Oreochromis niloticus: one gene and its partner. The main gene of each other region encodes a partner of the protein of the gene in region 2 in a complex. Links are inferred from orthologs where the notes say so. Each region holds a gene or a part of one and is shown on either strand. Other genes may lie near its edges.

Region 1 (10,524 bases), on a different chromosome or scaffold from region 2:
AGTCGGGTAGTGAAGAGCAAACGAAGTCCCTGACCAGCTTCTCGAAGCATTTGCTGACGATGGGGGTCAGGGCCAGTCGTTCAATGAGGAGATGGTGGAGGATTTGGGTACAGGGACGATGGTGGCCATTTTGAAGCAGGCTGGGACTACAGACAGAGAGTGGGAAAGGTTGAAGATGTGTGTAAACACTCCAGCCAGCTGAGCCGCGCATGACTTGAGGACGCAGCCGGGAATCCCGTCCGGACCAGTAGCTTTGCGTGCGTTCACCCTCCTGAAGCACTTCCGCACATCCTCCTCAGACACAGTGTGCGCGCTGACGTCATCCGCGGTGCGCACACTGTCCGGTCTCATGGTGTTCGCTGTGTCGAATCTAGCGTAGAATATGTTTAGATCCTCACACAGTATTTATTATACAAGTGTGAGTATGAACTTGGTATAGTTTCCTTTTGGCATGATAACCATGGGTGAATCAAAATGAAAGTACTGAGGAAAACTCTGGTCTGTGTACTCTGGTGATGCCTGAGTGAAAGTGTGATAGTCCTGTGGTTTATAGTGAAGACTCAGGGGTGAACTAACAGCCCTGTTTTACTGCCAACAGTGGGACAAACTAACACTGCTGGAATGGCATCTTATTTTCATGTACTGGACATTTAAAATATGTTGTATTAAAAGTCTCTTTAGATATAAAATATGCTGTGAAAGAGGATCCTCTGCACTCCCATGGAAATCTTACATATTCATACTCTTTTAAGCTTTAACAAATATTTTTAAATAGATCTTTTTTTATATATTAATATATTTAGTATGTGATCTCCTCTTTGGAGACCTTTACTTTTACTTACTTAGACTTAGGTCCTCCTGCGCCGTTCAACGCATTGGGCGGCAAGCGTCCACCAACATATTCGATCGGCTGTGGCTGCTTCGGCCTCATCCCATGCAATGTCTATGGTGCGTAAGTCATCGATGAAGGTCCTCCGCCATGTTGTACGGGGGTGGCCTGGTTTGCATCTTCCATGGGGTGGGTTCCATGTGATGGCAATCTTGGGCAGTCGATGTGGGGGTTGACGTAGAACATGACCTCCAAAGCGCACACGCCACTCAGTCACAATGTCCTGCAGGGGACGTGTGGCAGTTCGATGGTGTACTTCTTCGTTGGTGACATGGTCCCAGTAGGAGACCCCCAGGATACGTCGTAGCCATTGCTGCTGGGCCACATGGAGTCTTTTTGTGATTCTGGCTGATGTTTTCCACGTCTCACAAGTGTAGACTGCGGTAGGTATAACGATGGAGTTGACCAGGCGAATCTTTGTCGCCAGAACGATCTTTGGGGTCAACCAGATCGGCCGGAGCCGCTGAAAGACCGCACCTGCTTTTACAATTCGACACACAACATCATGCTCAGCATCTCCATTACTTGCCAGGATGCTGTCCAGGTAGGTGAATTGATTCACCTCCTCCAGTGGTTGCAGTCCTACCGTAATGGAGTCCTGTGTTGTCACGTAACCTATCCTCATGACCTTGGTCTTGTTTCCACTGATCCATAAGCTTGCTTTGGGTGCCTCTTGCGCCAAGCATGATGTCATAGTAGTCATGTTTTTCCGGACGTCAGCCACCAAAGCAATGTCGTCTGCAAAGTCGAGGTCCTTCAGGTGTGCTGGTGGATGCCAAGGTATCCCAAAGGCATCTTGGTCCATGGCACTCCGCATAACAAAGTCAATGGCAAGAAGGATGAGGAAGGGAGAGAGGATACACCCTTGCCTCACACCGGTCTCAATGTTGAAGAAATTCGTGAAGCCACCCTCTGTGCGGACGCAGCAACTGGAGTGAAGGTAGAGAATTTGGAGTTTGGAGACCAGAACTCTGTATTTCTGCACAAAATCCTCAGTATGGAAGTCCTTCACAATCAAAAAGACGTTTCACCAGTAAAATATTGTTGACTTGTTTCTGTATGTGATATTGACAGTTCCATATAAAATATTTGCGAGGACAGTAGTTAGTCAGTAGTAGGAAGGACCAACCTGTTTATGAAAGGTCAGGGCACATTCATAAAACATTAACACCACCTACTTTTTTAAATAGGAAGTTTAGGATAAAAATCCACGTATTATCTTTCAGAAACATTTTGATCCAATAATTTTGATAATCTGATTAAATGAAGGGAAAAAATGTTGTGGAGCTTATTTCTTCGCTTAACACCACTTTGACATAAAGAGGAAGTCTTTAGCCAGCTAGGAGCTACATTTCATTCGAACATATAAAATCACCAGGTCTATGTTATCATCCATCAAGCTTTTGTCCTCCACTGGGATCAAAACTCCCAAATATTTAACAATATTTTTAACTAGGATATTTCTGTATTAGCAATGTTTTTTAAAGCAAGAATTTCAAAATTATTTAAATTAAGGTTTAAGCCTGATTTGTGTCACTGTGTTTGAGAGAGTGGAAAAGCACTATCCATATCAGTCCATTTACCATTAATACAAGCACTTTTTTCTTATATTTACATGCTTTTTATCTAACAGTCACACACATTTGTACTCAAATGGATGCTTCAGAGAGCAGCTTGGGGTTATTTATGCAAACAGGGATCAAACCACTAAGGTGACCCACTCTACCTCCTGAGCTACAGTCACCCCAGTGACAGTGACTTGTGTACATTTAAAGATAATGCAACTAAATTTATCGTGGATTATTGAAAGGTTTAGATTTTGGCTTACCGCTAAGAAGAGATGGGACGGCCATGATAAAATTCCCCTCTTAATCTGAGTGATGGCAGTTTCACTGATGATAAGGTCTTTATTGCTTTGATTAAAAAAAAGTTATCAAATTTTAAAAAATTTAGGGTTAAAGATAAAATTGTGGAGAACTGTAGAGAATAAAGAATAAAATCAGGTGACTGCCAACAAGCCATTATTTGTAGTTAACTAGCTCCAAAAACAGGTGAATATTATTGAGATATGAATGCCACTCATGAATCCACAGTGGGATTCCTGAATTCTTTTATTTGGATCAGTGTTTCAACGCTTTGCTAATATGAAAATCGTCATTTTATAATCATTGTTGAGTGTAATTGGTCTCCAGTTATCAAAACATAAAGGATCTTTGTTGGTTTGGGGAATTAAAGGGAGATGTCCTTGCTTTAATGACGGGGACAGTTCTTCTTTTACAGATCGCTTCATTAAAGAGAGCAGCTATACATTTAATTGGTAAATTGACAGCAGAAATATCATTATTTTTTCTATTTTTGAGCTCTTTTTATGTGCTTATGCAATGGCTATCTTTCTCATTTAAAACCTTAGAAATTCCCAGTATTTTCCACATTCATCACTTGTTGAGGCCAAATTCCAGGACTTTCCTATAAGATCCTTTATATCTGATATGAGCTGTTCGCTCTTCAGAAGTGAGCTAGTCTGAGCCTAACCCCTTCTATTGTGCCACTTACTGATATTTGGTGTCTGTGTCACAATTTTGTGGTCTTTCAAAATAGCAGGAAAAATTTCTGCCTCCTTTATATTCAGTTCAAGCTCTGCTTAAATCAACCAAAACGTGATTATAGACAGAGTACTAGAATCTTTGGATGTAAGCTGTTTCCACAGCGCTGCTCTGACCACTCTCTTTCTCACCAAAATGAAGCTTCTTCTCTTTCAGGAAGGAACTGTTGTTTGCTCTCTTTCAGATGTTTCTCACAGAGCAGAGGATGATGATTGCACATGGCTCGTCTGCCCAGCGTGTGCGTCACATCAATCATTGCCTTCTGTCTGAGCTCGGTAGCAGCTTTCTGACAGAATCAGGATACTTTTTGTCTCACGTCCTGTTGTCTTGTTCATTCTCATCGTACAGATGCAGACGCCATCATTTTTTGTAGCACTGTGCTTCAGATAATCTGTTACTGATATCACTTTGCTGTTTTTGAATATTTTCTCAAGAGCTTGTTTTTCTCTTTTGTTAATGCCATTAATTTCTTCATAAACAAACTAGTCATGTTTAAGCTTTTCTATCATATTGGGACCATGTTTTCTAGCTTGTTTGCCTTGTTTACCTCGATTGTGAGAACACTGATTATATTAGTCTGCAGCTCGTGAAGGGACAGGGCATTGGTGTTCCTCTTTTTGACCCCTGGCCTATTTTGAAATTCTAACCAGGAAGAAGGAAACGGGTTAAACTGGACCACAACAGTAAAATCTAAGAAAATAAGATGTATTTAATTTTATATGCCATGGGACAGATTTACTAAGTGAGGCAAATTATTGTGATGTCACAACTGCAGTGTGGAGCAATTTATAAACAATTGGTGCAGTAAAAGCACTTCAGTAAGAGCAGTGCAAAATACTAGCTCAAAAATCCAGTGTAAGCTCATGACTGGACCTGGAACTGGGGCTTGCTGAGCCTTGGCCCCTTTGGGACATGGTCATGGAGGGAGTGGTTCCCTCTTCCTACCGCTTTCCGCTGGATGATGCTGCCCCAACCTGGGATGCAGGGAGGGGCAGCATCCAAGGGAGGGATCAACAGCACGTGGCTGGATGTTCTGGTGTGGTTGTTGAGCCGCTCCCTTGCTGGTATGGGATGGCTTGGACCTCTTCCTTGTTAGGGGGCTCTGGCTCAGGTGCTGGCCAATTCTTGGACGCCTGGAGCCCTGGGACCCTGTTCTCGGCTCGTGCCACTATCCTTTTATTATATTTTCCCTTATTTCTTCCCTCCTTCTCCCTTTTATTTCTCCTCTTGACTGTCCTGCCTTAGACGTTGTCATACTATACCACACATAATGTAATAACTGAAACAACACAAAAAGAAACGAATAAATAAACTGATAAAAGATACACGTGAACAAGAGGAGCCTATAGCGAATTTATACAGCTGATCTTGAAAAGGAGAACTATACTCACTCGAGAGGATGATACAACCATGTTGTTCCCTCTATCTGCAGCTGAGCACTGGCTGGCTTTTCCCCACAGAAGAGTGTCCAGCATGTAACAACAGATTATTTAAACCATATACTAACCTTTACACGCTACTGTATAGTGTCTGCAATGATAAATCACGTTTTCAAGTTTGTTTGTTTTTAAAAAAAAAAAAAAATCTACTTCATCTGAAAACAAAATGCAGGTATACAATGGAAGCCCAAATGTCCCAGTTTAACACTGGAACTTGAAAGCAGCTTACATTTGTAGATCTATGCGAAGCTGGCGACGTTAAATTTGTCCCCTCTAAGTCCCGCCGGTACTCGTCACTGTCATGATATATAGCCGCTGCAGTATTCTCCTGGATGATAGGCGTCGCCACTAAGACAATATCGCCACATAAGCGCTGACATAGGAAGAGAAGAAGTCAAAGCCGGAAGTCAAGACTTTGACTAGTGTTTTTCTGAAAAGTTCTTTCTACAAACCCTCAAGTTTCCAAACTGTTCCAACATCTCCTTCTGTATATGTCTCTGATTATTATTAAATTGTTAATTTAAATTATACAATTCAAATGCAGTAAAACCCGATACGACGTCACATCCTGACGTACCATAATGTCCAAAGTTCCCGATGAGTAAAGGCTCCAACAGACACAATAATTGCACTTAACTCTGTAGATTATTATGTATTTATTTTTAACGTGTCACAAAAACAAACGTGAACAAATGACGTCCGTTTAGCTCCGACCTCTTCACAGCCATTAACACGCGGGGACTCTTTACGTCAGCACGCTACGCGCCAAATTTGTACAGCGCAGAAAGCGCAAAACAAAAACAGCCGCGGGTCCTGCCCTTTCTAAAGGAAACAGCGCTAAAAGTGGATTGTTTGGGGCAAACTGCATCTCCACAGGATGTCGGAACACTTTGGATACTCACCCAGCTTCAAGCGGCCTGCGGAAATTTTGCGAATGAGGCGCAAAAGAGCCCGAAGCGAAGCCGGGGCCGGGTCCACAGACAGCCCCGAACAAAGCGGCTCATCTCCGACGTGCGTACGGACTTTCTCCCCCGAACCGCTCTCCGGCGCCCAGAACCATTTCGGGGTTGGAATAAAACGCAGGAACCCGTTCGCAAAAATAGAAAACACTTACAGTCCTAAGAAGAAACGTCTAACTTTTAACGACGCCAGCTGTAACACCGAAAACTCCGATAGCTCCGGGATCGCAAACAATGAGAGAGATGAAGAATCATCGAAGAGAGAAGGCACGCTAGATCTGGCTCTCAGCTTCAGGCTCGATGAGGCACAAGAACAGGAATACCGACAAGCTTCCAGCCAGGTTGGTCTCGGTCCTTTGCACTGTCGTCAGGAAGCTCCTGTTTTTATGTGGTAGAGATGTAAACATGAGGGGAGAAACTATAGGACCCCCTCTTAAACGCCTTACCTTTCTTGTCTGTGTCCTGCTGTAGAAATCTGGATCTCTGTCTGAGAGTGATGTGTTGTTGGAAGAAGAACCGGAGGATATTAAAAACCCACTGCTGAAGGTGGGAATTTATTCTGTGTGTTTTTTAAATGCTGAATGACATATCTGTGAGAATTGTCACTTTTTCCCAGGTTTTCTGTTGTGCAGTGTATAACCGTGTATTCAAAGGATTCCCCTCTGTCCTTCTAGAGCCCCCAAGCCACTGCTCCCACTGCCGTAGCAGCTCCTGTGTGCACCCAGTATCCAGCAGACTGGAGCCTAAAGACTCGTCTCCTCCTGACCTCTCCGGTCTCCCTTTCATGGGCAGAGCAGCTCAAGGCTCAGGAAGAAGCTCAGGGGCTCAGCCAGCACTGCAGGGCACAGTTCAGTCCCCTGCCACACAGTCCACAGGTAGGCTCATTGCATACATGTGGAAGATGGACAGGCGCACAATAGTCACTGTGCATTTATATGTTGCTATGGAGACGCTAGTGACACCAGTTACAGCTCTCCAAATAAATATTTTTTTCAGCACTTGTTGAGCCCTCAAAATTTCACGACTTTTCGATTTTAGACCCACTTCAGATGTTTAAATCTAAAATCTTGTTTTTTATTCAGCCAGATTTTTTTTTCTGTAACCAAATTAAAAATGATATCACAGAATAGCAGAGATGATCAGTGTGACAGTTTCCATGCAAACCTGGATCAGTTTGATGATTCTGAGTCTCAGTCTAAAACAAAGATACGCTTCTTAATAATTATTATTTATAATAACAATGAAAATTGCAGGTCCCTACTGTCATTAGTAGGGATTTTGTATATATGAGCTTCTTTAGCCAGTAGGCGTGGATGATGTCAGGGCCAGATGCTGCCCAACGCTTCATGCTTGAGACTCTTTCATGGATGTCTGCCGCTGTGATGCTTACTGGATCCCGTTCAGGGAGGCTGCTGTGGTTCGCCCGTAGATCCACTAAACACTGAGCATTGCTGTCATGGGTTGTGTGCTTCTGCTGTATACTCTTCCGATATTGCTCCATCTCCAGCACCTCACATCTCAGATGATTTGATTTTCATGGCTTCGATGTCTCAGGTGTACCTCTTCAAGCTGCTAGCCAAGGCTGTGAGTCTTTGCTTGGCAGTTTCCAAGGCCTCAGGTGTGACCAGCTTGCTGTACTTCTTAGACATCCCTTTCTTCATCACACCTTTCTGCAGCTCCAATACTTCCCTCTATGCTGCCTTGATCTTGGCCTCTAGTTTCCTTCTCCATGGAGGGTACTGCTCCTTGTGGGTGCTCATCTTGTTCCCAAACATCTCACTGATCACTGCTGTTGTGGGGTAGATCAGTTGGTTGGTTTCATTGATGACCACAGTGGTGATTGTCTGTAATGTTGCATTCACATCGCACGGGGGCTGCACGGCCTAAAGTCCTTTCTTTTTCTCAAAAATCGACGGTATGCCTTATGTATGAATTCTGGTTGTGCTTACTGACTGCGAACCGATTTTATGTGATACACAGCGCTCAGCAATCTGTCAAAAAATGTTTTAGTGCGACTTTGCTAAGCTACGGCGCTGCACCGCTTGATGGATTGTCGGAGGATTACAGCTACCGTAGTCAGGAGCCTCGCGGAGTGATACGTACTGTGCTTCAACGTAATATTACCGTATTGTGTGTGTATAAGGACCATAAATGGCTCCTGTTCAGAGACATGGTTACAAAGAGGATTTCAAACTCCAGGCTGTCAGTCACGCAGTAGAAGTTGGGAACAGAGCAGCTGTGAAATCTGTCTATGTTATTATGCTCAGCGTCTGTTAGTTTACATTTTGACTGCACAGTTGTGAGCTCTTTGTTATGCACAAAAACAACAGTTTTATTTTATTTCTGGAGTAATATTATTATTGAAGTAGTAATTTTTTCATGTACATCTATGCTGTATGTTAAAAAAGTGTCTGTGTGAGATCTGGGACACAGCTTTCACTTAGAACTCTCTTTTTGTTCTTACTTTATGGCTTTAAAAAAATATCGAGATATATATTTCGTCATCCAGCTAAAGAATATCGAGAAATGAATTTTGGGTCATATCGCCCAGCTCTACTTCACATAGTCTTCGTAATCAGACCTCTCAGGTCAGCTGCTCTTTCAAATCTCTAGTTGCAATAGCAGTTGCTTCTTCTGCATGTTGGAACACTGAGCTACTAGTTATTTCACCATTAGGTTTTCATACTTGTGCTTATCACACAAAATGCATGTGTGTATTTGTTATTAGTCAATACCAGATGACAATAAAAGGGAAACAATGGATGGGTTGGTCCTGTGCGTCAGCTTAAGAGCACCAGAGTGAACAAATCAGCTCCAGAAGTATAGAACTAAGTACACATGTGTAAAATCTGTAACATATTGTGTCGTTAAATAGTCTCGCCTGTTACTGTTATTGTTACTGTACTGGAGCAACTGTAACCCACATGATTTCCTTAAGTATTAATAAAGTATGCTGATCCCGACAGCTCTTAGTTTGTCTTGGGTTCTTCAGTAGCTTGTTCCTCAGCCCGACCTGTCTCTGTGCCTGCTATAGGATCCCAGGTCCTGCTCAGAGCTACGTTGTGCCTTCCAGCAAAGCCTGGTCTACTGGCAGCATCCCTCCATACCCTGGCTGTCCCTGTTCCCTAGGATCAACGCTGAAAGGAGCTTCTTTGGCAAGAGCGCCCCCTGGGCTCATGATGCAACGCTACAGCAGAGTCTCATGACAGAATGGTGAGGCTGATAGGGTGACAAGGTTTAACTGCAATGATTTCATTTTTCTCTCTGTCCTGATTTTAAATGAATCAAGATGTGATTGAATCACAGACTTTCAGCTTTAACTCGACGGATTTTAATAAAAATATTGTTTGTTTAGGAATTACAGTCATTTTTATGACTGACAGGTGGTTTCACTGATATGTCCTATTGATAAATGAATCATTAAAAAAAAAACCTGAACTTGATTCTAAGATTTGAGATCTTTACACTGGAGGTCTGAAGAGATGTAGGTGAAAGAGGTCATTGTTAGGCTGAGTAACCCCAATATATCTGTCAGAGAGAGAAGGAAGTTACGACCTCCTTAGACTGTGTTTTAGTTTCAGGGACTTTTTTTTCCAGCGAGTTATCAGCTCTGTCACAGTTAGCTAACACAAACGCAGTCTGTTAGCAGCAACCAGCTAACCATCGGACCCAGTGACATCACGTTCTGTACTAGCACTAAACATGTTTAAACACTTCTTTCCTAAATCCAGCTTCACAGATGGTGTTAAATCTCACACAGCAGGGTTGCACATTAAATGAACCTTTGTACAGTGAAGTGTTTCATGGCCAAGTAAGAGCAGCCACACTAGGGCTGTTCGATATAACGATATATATCGGATGACGATAGAAAAACGTCTATCGTTTCATTTTACGCTATCGTTTGTTTCGTGGTGTCGCAAAATAAACTGTTTACGGCAATATTTTTTCATCATTTTGATGGTCACTGTAGTGGCTATATTAATTTCTTAAAGTTCTCTCTTTCTCTTATATTTAATATAACCACACTACTGACGGACAAGCGCTTGTTTTTTATGCGTTGTCGTTAGCAACAACGACGGTAAAACCACGGCGTGTCCGCTTGTTTATTTTCCACATAAACCTTTCACAATAAAGCTCAAGATCCTGTTGAGGCTTTTCAAAATAAAACGAGTCACGTGAAAGATGCAGAGTATTAACGGATGAGAAGCAAAAAAGAGCCGCCAGGTGCTAAAAAATAAACCTTAGACTCAAACGTTAGAACAGACTTTTCTCCGCAGCACGCTGTGTAATAAATACTCACAAAGAAAACGGCGGCCGTTACAACTTACGTCTAAAAATGTATAGTTCCATGCATCAGTTAAAACACTCGACTCAAGGTACACGACGCCCAGCTGGAAACACTTCACGCAAGTCGAGATGCCCGAGATTCACAGAATTTACAGGAAATGTTACATTTTTGTAATTTATATCGTTATATCGACGATAGATGTCTTAATATCGGGATATGAGATTTTGGTCATATCGCACAGCCCTAAGCCACACAATGAAAGAGCATTTTTAGGTGGAGCTCCGTGGTGATGATCTGCAAAAAGACTTCTGACATTGTTGTATCTCCTGGACCAGGTGATGTGTGC
Region 2 (10,501 bases):
ATCCACACATGGAAGACCTATCTTTACTGAGACTGGTGCCACCAAACTACAGGACATTTTTATGACTTTACAATTACCGTGAAATGATTAAAAACTGGTACAAATGTCAAGATTCTACAAAGCCTAAAAAAATGGTGTAGTGTTTAATAAATGCAATTCTTTCACAATCATTTTATTTTTTCTCCAACTCACATTTCAAACTATCTTCGATGCCTGAGGGAATATTTATTTTATTTTCCAACATTTTAATAGGAATAATAACAGGCCCGTTCCCCTCAAAACCACACTGTATGCTATCAGACATCCAAATCAACTTGATTTGTTCCTGATTTTACCAGGTCAAGGCACACACTATATGACATTAATCAGAACATCAAGTAACATTTCTTCTCCAGGTCTTCTATGAATGCAGTTTAAGAGTTAGACAGTCGTCTTGATTACTCTGTGTTGCTAAGCCCACTCTTTCAATCCATTGTTAGTTCTAATTACTGGTGAATTTATGTGAAGGCAAACAATAAGCACTGATTGCTCCCGCTGAAACACTTACATAACAATGCTATCATAACATCTTTTAGGTTAAAGTTTAAAGCAAAGTCAAAAAGGAAACTTTCAACATGTGAAAAAGAATAATGTCACGATGTACAACAGCTACATGAGCATTAACAGGATAATCTATGACATTAAAGCATGTTAATTCAAGTGTGAATGTCCTTAAATCACAGCAAACAAACCCTGATCTTGCAAAGATGCATGCACATCTAGCATGAGCACCTCGGGATGGAAGGCGTTATGATGCCAAGTGAACTGATGAAATTTCACCGTCGGGTCATCTGATGCATCCGGTTATCGAGCAGCTGAGAAATCATCCAATAACATGAATCATTTGGATGGAGCAACATGAGGAGTAATGAATAAACAGATTAGACAGAGCTGTCTTTATCAGTCACACGCACACCAACGTACTACACAACAAAGCATATATCATGACATGATTAAAAAGATCCAAAAATACAAACTCAGCGCTGCAAAAACCTAGTTTAGTAAACAGGGTTCATCCGCAGCTTTTAGTTCCCGCTGGCAGTGACCTCGATTGTGTCCCCCCACCCCCACAGAATTAAATTCTGGTGCCATGGTGCTACAAACGTCCCTATATTTACATCCTAAAAGTCAGTCCTTATTCTGGATGAAAGGTGAGGATGAAGGGCATGCTTCCTGATGTGATCTCTGCGCAGTCTTTATTTCAGGAATGTCTCCTGGATCCACAGTAATAAGCAACCTGCAACATATAAAAGACCAATATTAATTGCACTTGACTGTTAACTGTAGTTTAGTTTAGAGAAGACAACTAAAATTTGTTGTAAACACATCATGGTGCTTTAAAATTTCAATGTTGGTTTTTTATTATCTGTTGCCAAGAGACAATGAACACTCAAAAAGGGAAAAAAGGAAAGAGAAAAAAGTAAGCGCTAAAAATAAATCCAGATGTCACCGCAAAGCCACGGCTTATGTAAGAGCTGCAGAAATGAATTATTAGATGCCTGTAGAAGAGGGTGTGAGGGCAGTATTGAGTTAATGACAAAGATGGCTCAGTCAAGGCTCGCTGGTACTGACCTTTTCATTCATATCAACTGCACAGCTCCGCTTGACACAAGTGGAGCTATAGTTCGATAACGCATTAGGTGCTGAGAGCCCTCGTCGAGATCCACGACATACTCTCTGATAGAAGAGACACAGTGGAGATTTTATCAGTTTAGTATCTATACAGAAAAAGGTTAGTGAATGCAAGAAGGCAACACTGCCACCTACTGGATGCCTAAATAATAGCACATAAAGAGAAATATTGACAAACAAACCTCTGATCCTCCGTTTCAGGCTCTACCAGGATGTTTTCCTGTCTCTCTTTCACTCGCAGAAACACAAAGGAGTCCAGGCAGGGCTCAGGCACTAACATTAGGATACACAGTGGTGAAACGAGTGCAATGGTCAGTGAAAATGTCACAGCAAACGTCACCATCTGTCTACATGGGCTAATAGTATCACCATTTTAGACACAGAATGACACCTTACCTGCTTTGATCATATCCACAGTCTGTAAGTTGGATGGCATGCGCTTCAGTGCTACAGCCTTTAGGTAGCTTTCAGTGTTGGCATAATACCTGCAAGCCAGATGTGTTGGCGTGTGATTTTTTTTTTTTAAAAACCCCAAGTGTTGCAAGAACCGCAGCGGTTTAAACGACTTTATTCCAGCACACTCACTCTTTGGCAAAAGCAAACTCCTCAGGCGAAAGCAGAGACGGCTCGCCCTCACCCCGAGACTTCTCTCTCTCCAAGACATGTGGGAAATACTTTTCAATCTAGACATAAACAGCACAAAAGGGGAGGCATATGTCACCAACAGCCACCAAGTGAGACAAAACTCAGTTTTGTGGCGCTGACCCAACCGACCTTCTGCAGACGAGAGCGCAGGTAGCTGCTGAGAACGTAGCGGATCCTGTCTATTTCCATGCGATGGATGCTGGCCTTTGCATCGCCTTTCTTCACCCGCTGCAAGTTGGACTCCTGTTGGTGACAAAACTGTCAGAAATTAAAGGGTCCTTTTATTCAGGTCTACTCAGAATGACCAGAAAAGCAACAGCCCTGGGATATGTTTGAATATCACAGTGTTAATACCATCCTAATCATCTGAACTGAATGAATCTCCACAGCTGGATGTATAGTAATGTAATCAAGGTCCTACTGACAGGCAGCAGCTTTAGATAGTAGTTTGCCACAGAGCAAACCACATTGCCCTGAATTGTTTGAGATTTTATTTTGAAGCCACCACATTACATTTGACATGACCATCAAAGTCTTGATATCAATTGCAGGTCTTCCTATAGATCAATTTATCCATACTAATAAAACTAAATCATAAGAAAACCAGCAATGAAGTGCTGATCTGTCAGGTGACAGAAGAAATTAAAACATTTTTGTAATAATTCAAGTAAATGAACAAAAAGCAGAAATCTCAGATATTCCCGAATTCAACTTCTATATTTTGAACATTTGATGATGTTTTTTGACCCACTGAAAAGTAAATTACTTTCTTTAAACTCCAACTGAAAAATAAATTAATTTGTGTGTATAAAGTGGCATTTTGAGCTCTAGTGAATTGTAATGGGTATTTTTCTACAAACCTTTGCTTTTTATGGGTTAAAAAAAAGCAAAATTCACAGTTTAGAAGAGGTGGAATGCACCTACTTTTGTTTGTTGTTTGTTAAGACACTTAACATTGACCTATGAATCATCCGAGCACGAAAAGGTACCGAATTCGAAGGAAAAGCCAGTAATGCGTCTACAAAAACAACAGACAACTTAGCAAAGAAGCTATTTTAACGTGTTACTTTAGGGACTTTGCTACTGGGAGCCTGTAGCAAAAAACACATTCTTTGTTTTCAATCCTTTAGTTGAATCTATTAAAAATGCCAAAGAAAAAAAACATTTTACAGGTATGAAATTATATTTCTACACCAACAAGATGATTCTCACTGAGCTACTAACCATTGAGAATCAGCTTGGTATATCTCAGCATGTGTGCCATTAAATAAAATTGTGCAAACTGGACAGGTTCTTTTCTGAACAAGTCATTTTTCAGCATGGCAATGATCCCTAACACACTGCCAATGCAGTAAAAGCATACCTGGATGGGGAAAAAAAACAAAAAAAACCCCCCAAACATAAAAAACAAAAACAAAAAAAAAAACCCCACACAGTGGAACACTATCAGTCATGGATTGGCCTCGACATTATTGAAGCAGTGTGGGATCATGTTGACAGAGAACAGAACAAAAGGCAGCCAACATCAAAGAGCTTTTAATGTCCTTTAAGAAGTCTGGAGAACAATTCCTGAAGATTACTTAAAGAAATTACAAGAAAGCTTGCCCGAGAGAGTTCAGGCTGTGTATAACATAAAGGTGGTCATACGGAATATGGACTTTCAAGCTCATTAGAATTGTACCAACTCTTTTGCCTTACATTCTGCATGTCAATTTCACTACATCATAGCAAAACATAAAGAAGTGAGAGGTGGCTCGAGACTTTTGCACAGTACTGTATATAGTTTTCCCTCTGCTGCATTTGAATCAGTCATGCACATTCTCATAGGTTGCAGTCCTTCGCGTTTCAGTTGCTGTTTTGCAATTCAGAAACTCAACTATAACCATGCATGCTGCTGAACATTAGAAACAACCCACACCGCAGGAGGTATTCCCCGGGTAGTTTACCATATGAGTCAGCTGCTCCATCACACACTCCACCACCTCTGATTTGTTCTCCAGCAGCTCCGGTGAGAACTTCTCATTTAGCCAAGCCTGTGGGCGACACACACGGACACAACAGTGAAGACGGTGCTGAATATCTAATAGAGGTGAAGAGTCTGCACGTCAGGGGAATAATCTGGCCTACTTCTTCCAGTTTAGCGATCAGCTCCGCCGGGGTCATAACATCCTCCTGGGTGTCATCCTGGTTGAAGTCGCTGCCGTCATCAGACAAAGCGTCCGACATGGTTTTCAGTAAAAATACAACGTTTCACCAAAACGCAGAATATCTCTTGAATTAAAAATAAATTAATAATAAAAACAGAGCAATTAAAACTGAATAATATGAGGGAAAATGTACCAATGCGACTACTACTGTCACAGCAGCCACAAGTTAGCGGAAAAACTCGTTGTTTATTCGCGCCACTGGGATTCTTCTCGCGAGATTTACAATGTGCCCATTTACCTGAGTTTAGCTTGTCAGGCAAGCCTTCTCGTAGGCTTAGTATAGTTTTTATTAATAATTGGACGGAGCATTCAATAAAAGACAGTAAATTAGTTTCTAGACATTCAGGAAGGATATTGATCGGGGATGTTGAGGATTTTCTGCTACAGGAGCGCAAACTTTAAAAGTTCAATGAGCCCGGTTTTTCCTGAAATACAAAACTGAGGGAATCTAATCTATATAACACGTGCTGTGAATACGAGCAATACACTCAAAATATTGCATGTTGCTGAAGATTGTTGTAAGTAATGCTAGAGTGGTAGAAAGTGGTGGGAGAAGCATTTCTATGGCGTTTTCACGCATCATAATTAGTGGTTATGTTATTGTGCTTATATTGCGAGAGATATCTTTATATAGATTTATTATATATTTTATATATTTACAGATAATTACTGCTAATACTATCAAATATATAACTCAAGCATTAATTATGATCTAGAAAAACCTCATAGAAATGTTTCCTATACCACTAATAGACATAATATAATAGACACTATATAAAAGACAGTGACAGCACAGGGTACGGCATATTCACTCAAGAAATACCAAAAGATTGTGATTATTACAAACACACAAAGAAATAACTGATGCCGTAGAAGTCAGTTTGATTTCCTAAGTCAGCATGTCATTCAATTTGATAAAATTTAATTGCCAAAACAACAGTTGCCAGTAAACAGTAAAGGTGCTTTGTATTGTAAAGCAAAGACTCTAAACCAATAAAAAGAAACTCAAACAATCAGATGAATCATTATGAGCAAGCGGCTCCCTTTTAATGGGAAGAAACCCCAGGCAGAACCAGGCTCAGGGAGGCCGTGCCGTGAGTGGTCGGGGATGAGTGGGGAGGGAGGAAGCAAAAACGACACTGCGGAAAAGAGCCAGAGATTAAAAATAACTAATGATTAAATACAAAGCAGCATATAAACACACAGAGTGTGAATAGAGTTGAGTTAAGAAGAAATGCTCATTGCATCATGGGAAGCCCCCCAGCAGCTTAGGCCTATTGCAGTTTAACTAAGGGAGGGTTCAGGGTCACCTGATCCAGCCCTAACTATATACTTTATCAAAAAATGAAAGTTTTAAACCTAATCTTAAAAGTAGAGATGGTTTCTGTCTTCAAAATCCAATCTGGGAGCTAGATCTACATGTTATCTGGGCTCTTAATCTGCAGTTTCATTAGTGTGAATTCAGAGATCATCTGCTTCACTCATTGCAGCTCTTTCAGACAGCCTTACTGCAGTATCTCATTTGTCCTATTTGCTCCTTCTCGTCACTCCTCATTGCACTTGCTTCAAAGTTCTTTCATATTTTTTCCCTGCACTGCAGCCACCATAGTGATGTTCAGTGTTGCACGCTATCAGCATCCTTTGAACTTATCTGGACTACATCAGACCTGCAAGGTTGCAGCTCTCACCACATGCCTCAGACAGCTGCAGTTTCCTTAATGCACATCAGCAAACACAAATAACAGAAAGACTATATTGAGAAGAATTTGTCACTGCTCACTGACAAAAATACTTATGAGGCTCTGAATCGAGACACAGGTAGTGGTTACAGGAAAAGGGTCATAGAATGTGTCAAGCACTTAGATTAAGACAATGCTGCTGACCAGACCTCATACCACAGGCTACACCCAGGGGAAGCTACACCAAGTCTGTATGGTTTACCGAAGATACAAAAAAAGGGCGTACCTTTTAGACCAATTGTCTGCATGATCAACTCAGTCACGTATAACATCTCAAAGTTTCTGGCTTCGATCCTCAACCCGTTGGTAGGCAGCTCTAAGCGCTACATCCAGAACACTTTGAATTTTGTTGAGAAGCTTAGAGATGTCATTATGGAGGCAGATGAAACAATGGTCTCATATGATGTTATGTTTCTCTTCACTTGTGTTCGAGTCCCTGAAGCAGTGGATGTAGTTTGTAAGAGATTACAGGATGACCCCAACCTCAGCAACAGGTCCACTCTCAGCACCGCCCAAGTGTGTTTGCTTTTGGAACTGTGTCTTCATTCCACCTATTTCACATACAAGGGTCAGGCAGAAACATGGGTGTGCCATAGGTTCCCCAGTTTCACCCATTGTGGCCAACTTGTACATGGAAGAAGTGGAAAACAGGGCTCTGTTATCCTACCCTGGAACACGCCCAAGTCGTTGGTACAGGTATGTGGATGACACCTGGTTGAAAATCAAATCTCAGGACGTACCACAATTCACTGATCACATTAACTCGGTGGAGAAACACGTCAAGTTCACCAGGGAGGATATGAAAAATGACAGCCTTCTTAGACTGTGAGATTTCCATCAGTAATGGGGGACATTTAAAAAAATGATGGGTAACGTAAAGTATTTAAGGTTTGACTCTCATCACTCACTGGAGCACAAACTGTGTGTCATCAGGACGCTACGACAAAGAGCGAACAGCATCCCCACAGATACAGCGGCCAGGGAAGCAGAAGAACATCATATCAAGAAGGCTGAGGAGAGGGCCTAATGCTAAAGCTTTCATCTTTCACCATCCTACAGTGCTGTGATTGAACTGTTGAACTGAACAAAAAGAACAAAGATGTTTTCATGTTTTCTCTTTATTTGTTGGCTGCTTTAGTCTTTTGTTTAAATACACTTGAATAACATGAGAACAATATAGATAATTTTTTTTTAATATCATACACTGACCAACATTCATTCAAAATAATAATAATCTTCAGACATAACTACAGTACTTTAAGAAACATTAGACAGTTTTTTGTTTTCAAAAACAAAATACTGAAACTGTGCAATTGACGATAACCTTAACCTCCTAAGACCCGAACTGTTCCACGACATGCATTTTTAATTTCTCTTTGATATTTGGGCATATTGGGGCCCAATGAATGTAAAAACAAAGAATTTCCAGATTTTTTTTTTTTTACCTTATTTTTGTTTTTAAGAAAAATGAGAGCCACAAATGAGGATATTCATTTAAAATTTTGATAGAACAGTAGCAGTATAATGTCCTCGTAAGTGGATATCAGGCCCATGTAAAGCAAAATTGAGTATTTTGGTCAAAATAACCAAAAATGTGATGTCCACATATGTGGACGGCAGGTCCTAGGAGGTTAATATCGCATTCATTTTGACCTGAATTGAATATAAAATTCATTTTAATAATCATAACACCATATCATTAACATTTACTACATAAAATCTAAAGAAATCAAAACTGAAAATAACCGATGGTAATCTGTTTTTCCAAAATTTATATTATACAGATTACATTATTTGACCCTAGTGTAGCAGCTAAAGACATATTGCATATTGTAATTTTTTTTAAGTAGTACACCACTCAGGTGCACTTGGACAGCAAGTCTTCAACATGATTCATTGGCTCCTATAAATATTTGTAGATATCACTGCTCGGACTTCATCCCCAGGATCCATACAGTCACTCAGCAGGAATAACTTGAAAATTTTTAATGTTTAAAACATATGTAAGGAGGCCTCAACAATACTCCACTGAGCAACAACCCACTGTCTTGTTTTGTGATTATCATTGTGATTTTCTCACAACTTTTGAGGGTAAATGGGATTGATGGCAGGAATGGCATATGCAGTTTGGGGATTTAACAGAGGAATGGGGTAGGGGTAAGAGTAAAGAGCAGATCCGATGAGAGCAGAGGGAGGTGGACCCATTGGCACATTGCGGTACATTAGCTGAGAGGGAGGTAGTCTCATTCTGTTGGGGATAAATGAAGGGTGCAGGGGAGGTTGGTGCCTGGAGTCTCTGGCTGTTTTCTCATAGCCTGACAGGACACAGGGCAATGGCAGGGTGGCGGCGGAATAGGACAGGCTCTGCTGAGCGGGAGGAACTTTCTGTTGCATTGTCCTGGATTTCTCTCTCTTCTCTGTCTGACAGGACCACATAGACATCCTCTTTGCACAAGTCAGAGAGTCGTCTTGCTGAAGCAACCTGCCCGTGTGGTTTTTGTAACTTGGCCGAACTGGAGTGGGTCGTAGAACATTGCCAGGTTTTGGAATAACTTTGGTGAAGCTAGAGGTAGATGTTGGAGCCCAGACAGATTTCACAGAGTATGAGGTGGGTAATTGGAAAGGAAGAGGGTAATGTTTACTTGCTCCTTTGTTGGACTTCCAGTTAACTTGGTTTTTAATCGAGTCAGAGCCGATTTGAGAAACATCCTTATTCTGTCCTTTAGGTTCTTTGTGTGTCTTACTAACAGTCTTGCTATCCTCACTGCAGCCCGATGGATTTTTGACAGAAGCATTTTGGGACATTTCTGAGCTTGATGCAGCTTTATCTTCACCTCCTGCTGGACCTTCCTCTGATGAAACAGAGTAAGGGGAGGGGCTGCGGGAAGAGGAGGAGGATAAAGGGAGTGGGGAGCCATCAGAGGAGTTGCAGTTTCTGCTGGAAGAAGCCCTGGCTGGAGACTGGGAGCAGTGGATGACGGAGGGCCTTTCTTTATCCTCGCTCTGAGAACTGGGCGGCAAATTGAGGCTAGCCTGAGCCATTCGCTTTTTTTTCTCCAGAGGAGAGATGACCTCTCCGGCTGCAGTCGGTAATTGAGCAATCCACGGGTTGGATGTGGGGAGAAGGTAAACAGAAGGGCAGACATTACTGGCTGCTCTGTTTGGCTCAGTGTGGTGTCTGTCAGCCCAGAGAGCAGAGTGAGGATGAATTACTGCTTCGCTTTGACAGGAAGATTCTGGACTTCTCTGGGTGAGTAACTGAAAGGCATAGAGGAGGAGGGATTTTAGAACACAATATATCAAACACTTCTCTATTAGGTGTTTTGTCAGAGTTATAATTTGTTACCTCTGAATCAATGTCTCTATCTGAATGAGTTCTTTTCCTCTTCCCTTCTGCCTTAGTCATCTTGCCATCCAAATTTCTCTTGTATGGCTTTCGTGGTTTGCTTGGAGGCAGGGGTTTGTCTTCCTCTCCTTTTATATGCCTCTCAAAGGGAAGCACCAGCCTGTCACATAAGCAGCACAGTTTAAATTGAGTCTCAGCTGATCTTATAGTGTTTGAACCAAAAAAGGTTCTTGAGAAACAGAGTCATCCTCACCTCTCATAATGTCTGCGAGTGCAAGTAGCTGCACTGGTGCTACCGGGGCTTCCTCCCAGCTCATCGTAGACTTTCTTCCAAAGGCGTCGTGCTGTCACCTGTTGACAAAAATGAACGTGTATAAGAGTTAAAAATCATTACACTATTTAAACTGTTCCCACTAGGATGGCAGTATCTGGTATCCTATTTTTATGCTGTTTCTATCATGAAACCATAGCCTGTATATAAAAGATGGATGTAACCACCTACTGGTCCATTCAAACCATAAATCCTCAATTTTGTATTTATTTATTTTTGGAGACAGAATTAAAATCACAATTGGGCAAGAGGATGGACAGTTAACAACATGCTTGAGTGCCATCTGTGCAGGTATGCGTGCACTGCCACTTGTTAGTGCACGGGCAATTCATTTTCCCAAGGGGGTATATTAGAAACTGAGAAACAAGGAATTCACCAATAAGGTGGAGTCAGTTCTGCTCGATATTAATTCTTTGAAAGGGCGGGCTAAAAATAGGACTCGGGTGAAGGTGTGGCCCTCCACAGAAGTCCCAGTTTATCATGGAGCCCCTTGGAAAAGTTAATTGTCCACCCCTGTATTAGTTCTGTGTAACATACCAAGGCAGCAACAGCGTGATTAAAA

The links.
Region 1: the proteins of gins4 (region 2) and donson are in contact, whole or in part, in a cryo-EM structure (PDB 8Q6O), measured with the Xenopus laevis proteins. The link is inferred for Oreochromis niloticus from reciprocal best matches to the Homo sapiens genes GINS4 and DONSON. Residues at the interface, in NP_001084702.1 of Xenopus laevis: Leu19, Thr20, Pro21, Cys51, Glu54, Gln55, His58, Asn62, Arg65, Ala66, Lys67, Lys72, His76, Asn179, Leu181, Pro184, Thr186, Asp187, Glu188, Tyr192; in XP_041437004.1 of Xenopus laevis: Tyr8, Ser9, Pro10, Ser11, Phe12, Lys13, Pro15, Ser16, Ile18, Leu19, Ser22, Thr167, Arg168, Arg245, Arg469, Val471, Glu488, Thr490, Tyr518, Thr519.

The regions. Positions count from the first base shown.
Region 1 is NC_031986.2:3,396,513-3,407,036, reverse strand, and holds the start of donson (protein downstream neighbor of son homolog), read left to right. Parts: upstream 1-5,535; 5' UTR 5,536-5,808; coding exon 5,809-6,231; intron 6,232-6,361; coding exon 6,362-6,436; intron 6,437-6,564; coding exon 6,565-6,765; intron 6,766-8,924; coding exon 8,925-9,103; intron 9,104-10,524. UniProt on the Homo sapiens protein: Replisome component that maintains genome stability by protecting stalled or damaged replication forks.
Region 2 is NC_031977.2:13,061,236-13,071,736, reverse strand, and holds gins4 (DNA replication complex GINS protein SLD5), read right to left. Parts: upstream 4,722-10,501; 5' UTR 4,543-4,721; coding exon 4,444-4,542; intron 4,350-4,443; coding exon 4,263-4,349; intron 2,560-4,262; coding exon 2,446-2,559; intron 2,355-2,445; coding exon 2,257-2,354; intron 2,157-2,256; coding exon 2,068-2,156; intron 1,945-2,067; coding exon 1,854-1,944; intron 1,717-1,853; coding exon 1,620-1,716; 3' UTR 1,612-1,619; intron 1,277-1,611; 3' UTR 152-1,276; downstream 1-151. Other genes in the region: arid5a (AT-rich interactive domain-containing protein 5A), read right to left, coding at 8,339-9,520, 9,609-9,768, 9,862-9,959. UniProt on the Homo sapiens protein: Required for correct functioning of the GINS complex, a complex that plays an essential role in the initiation of DNA replication, and progression of DNA replication forks.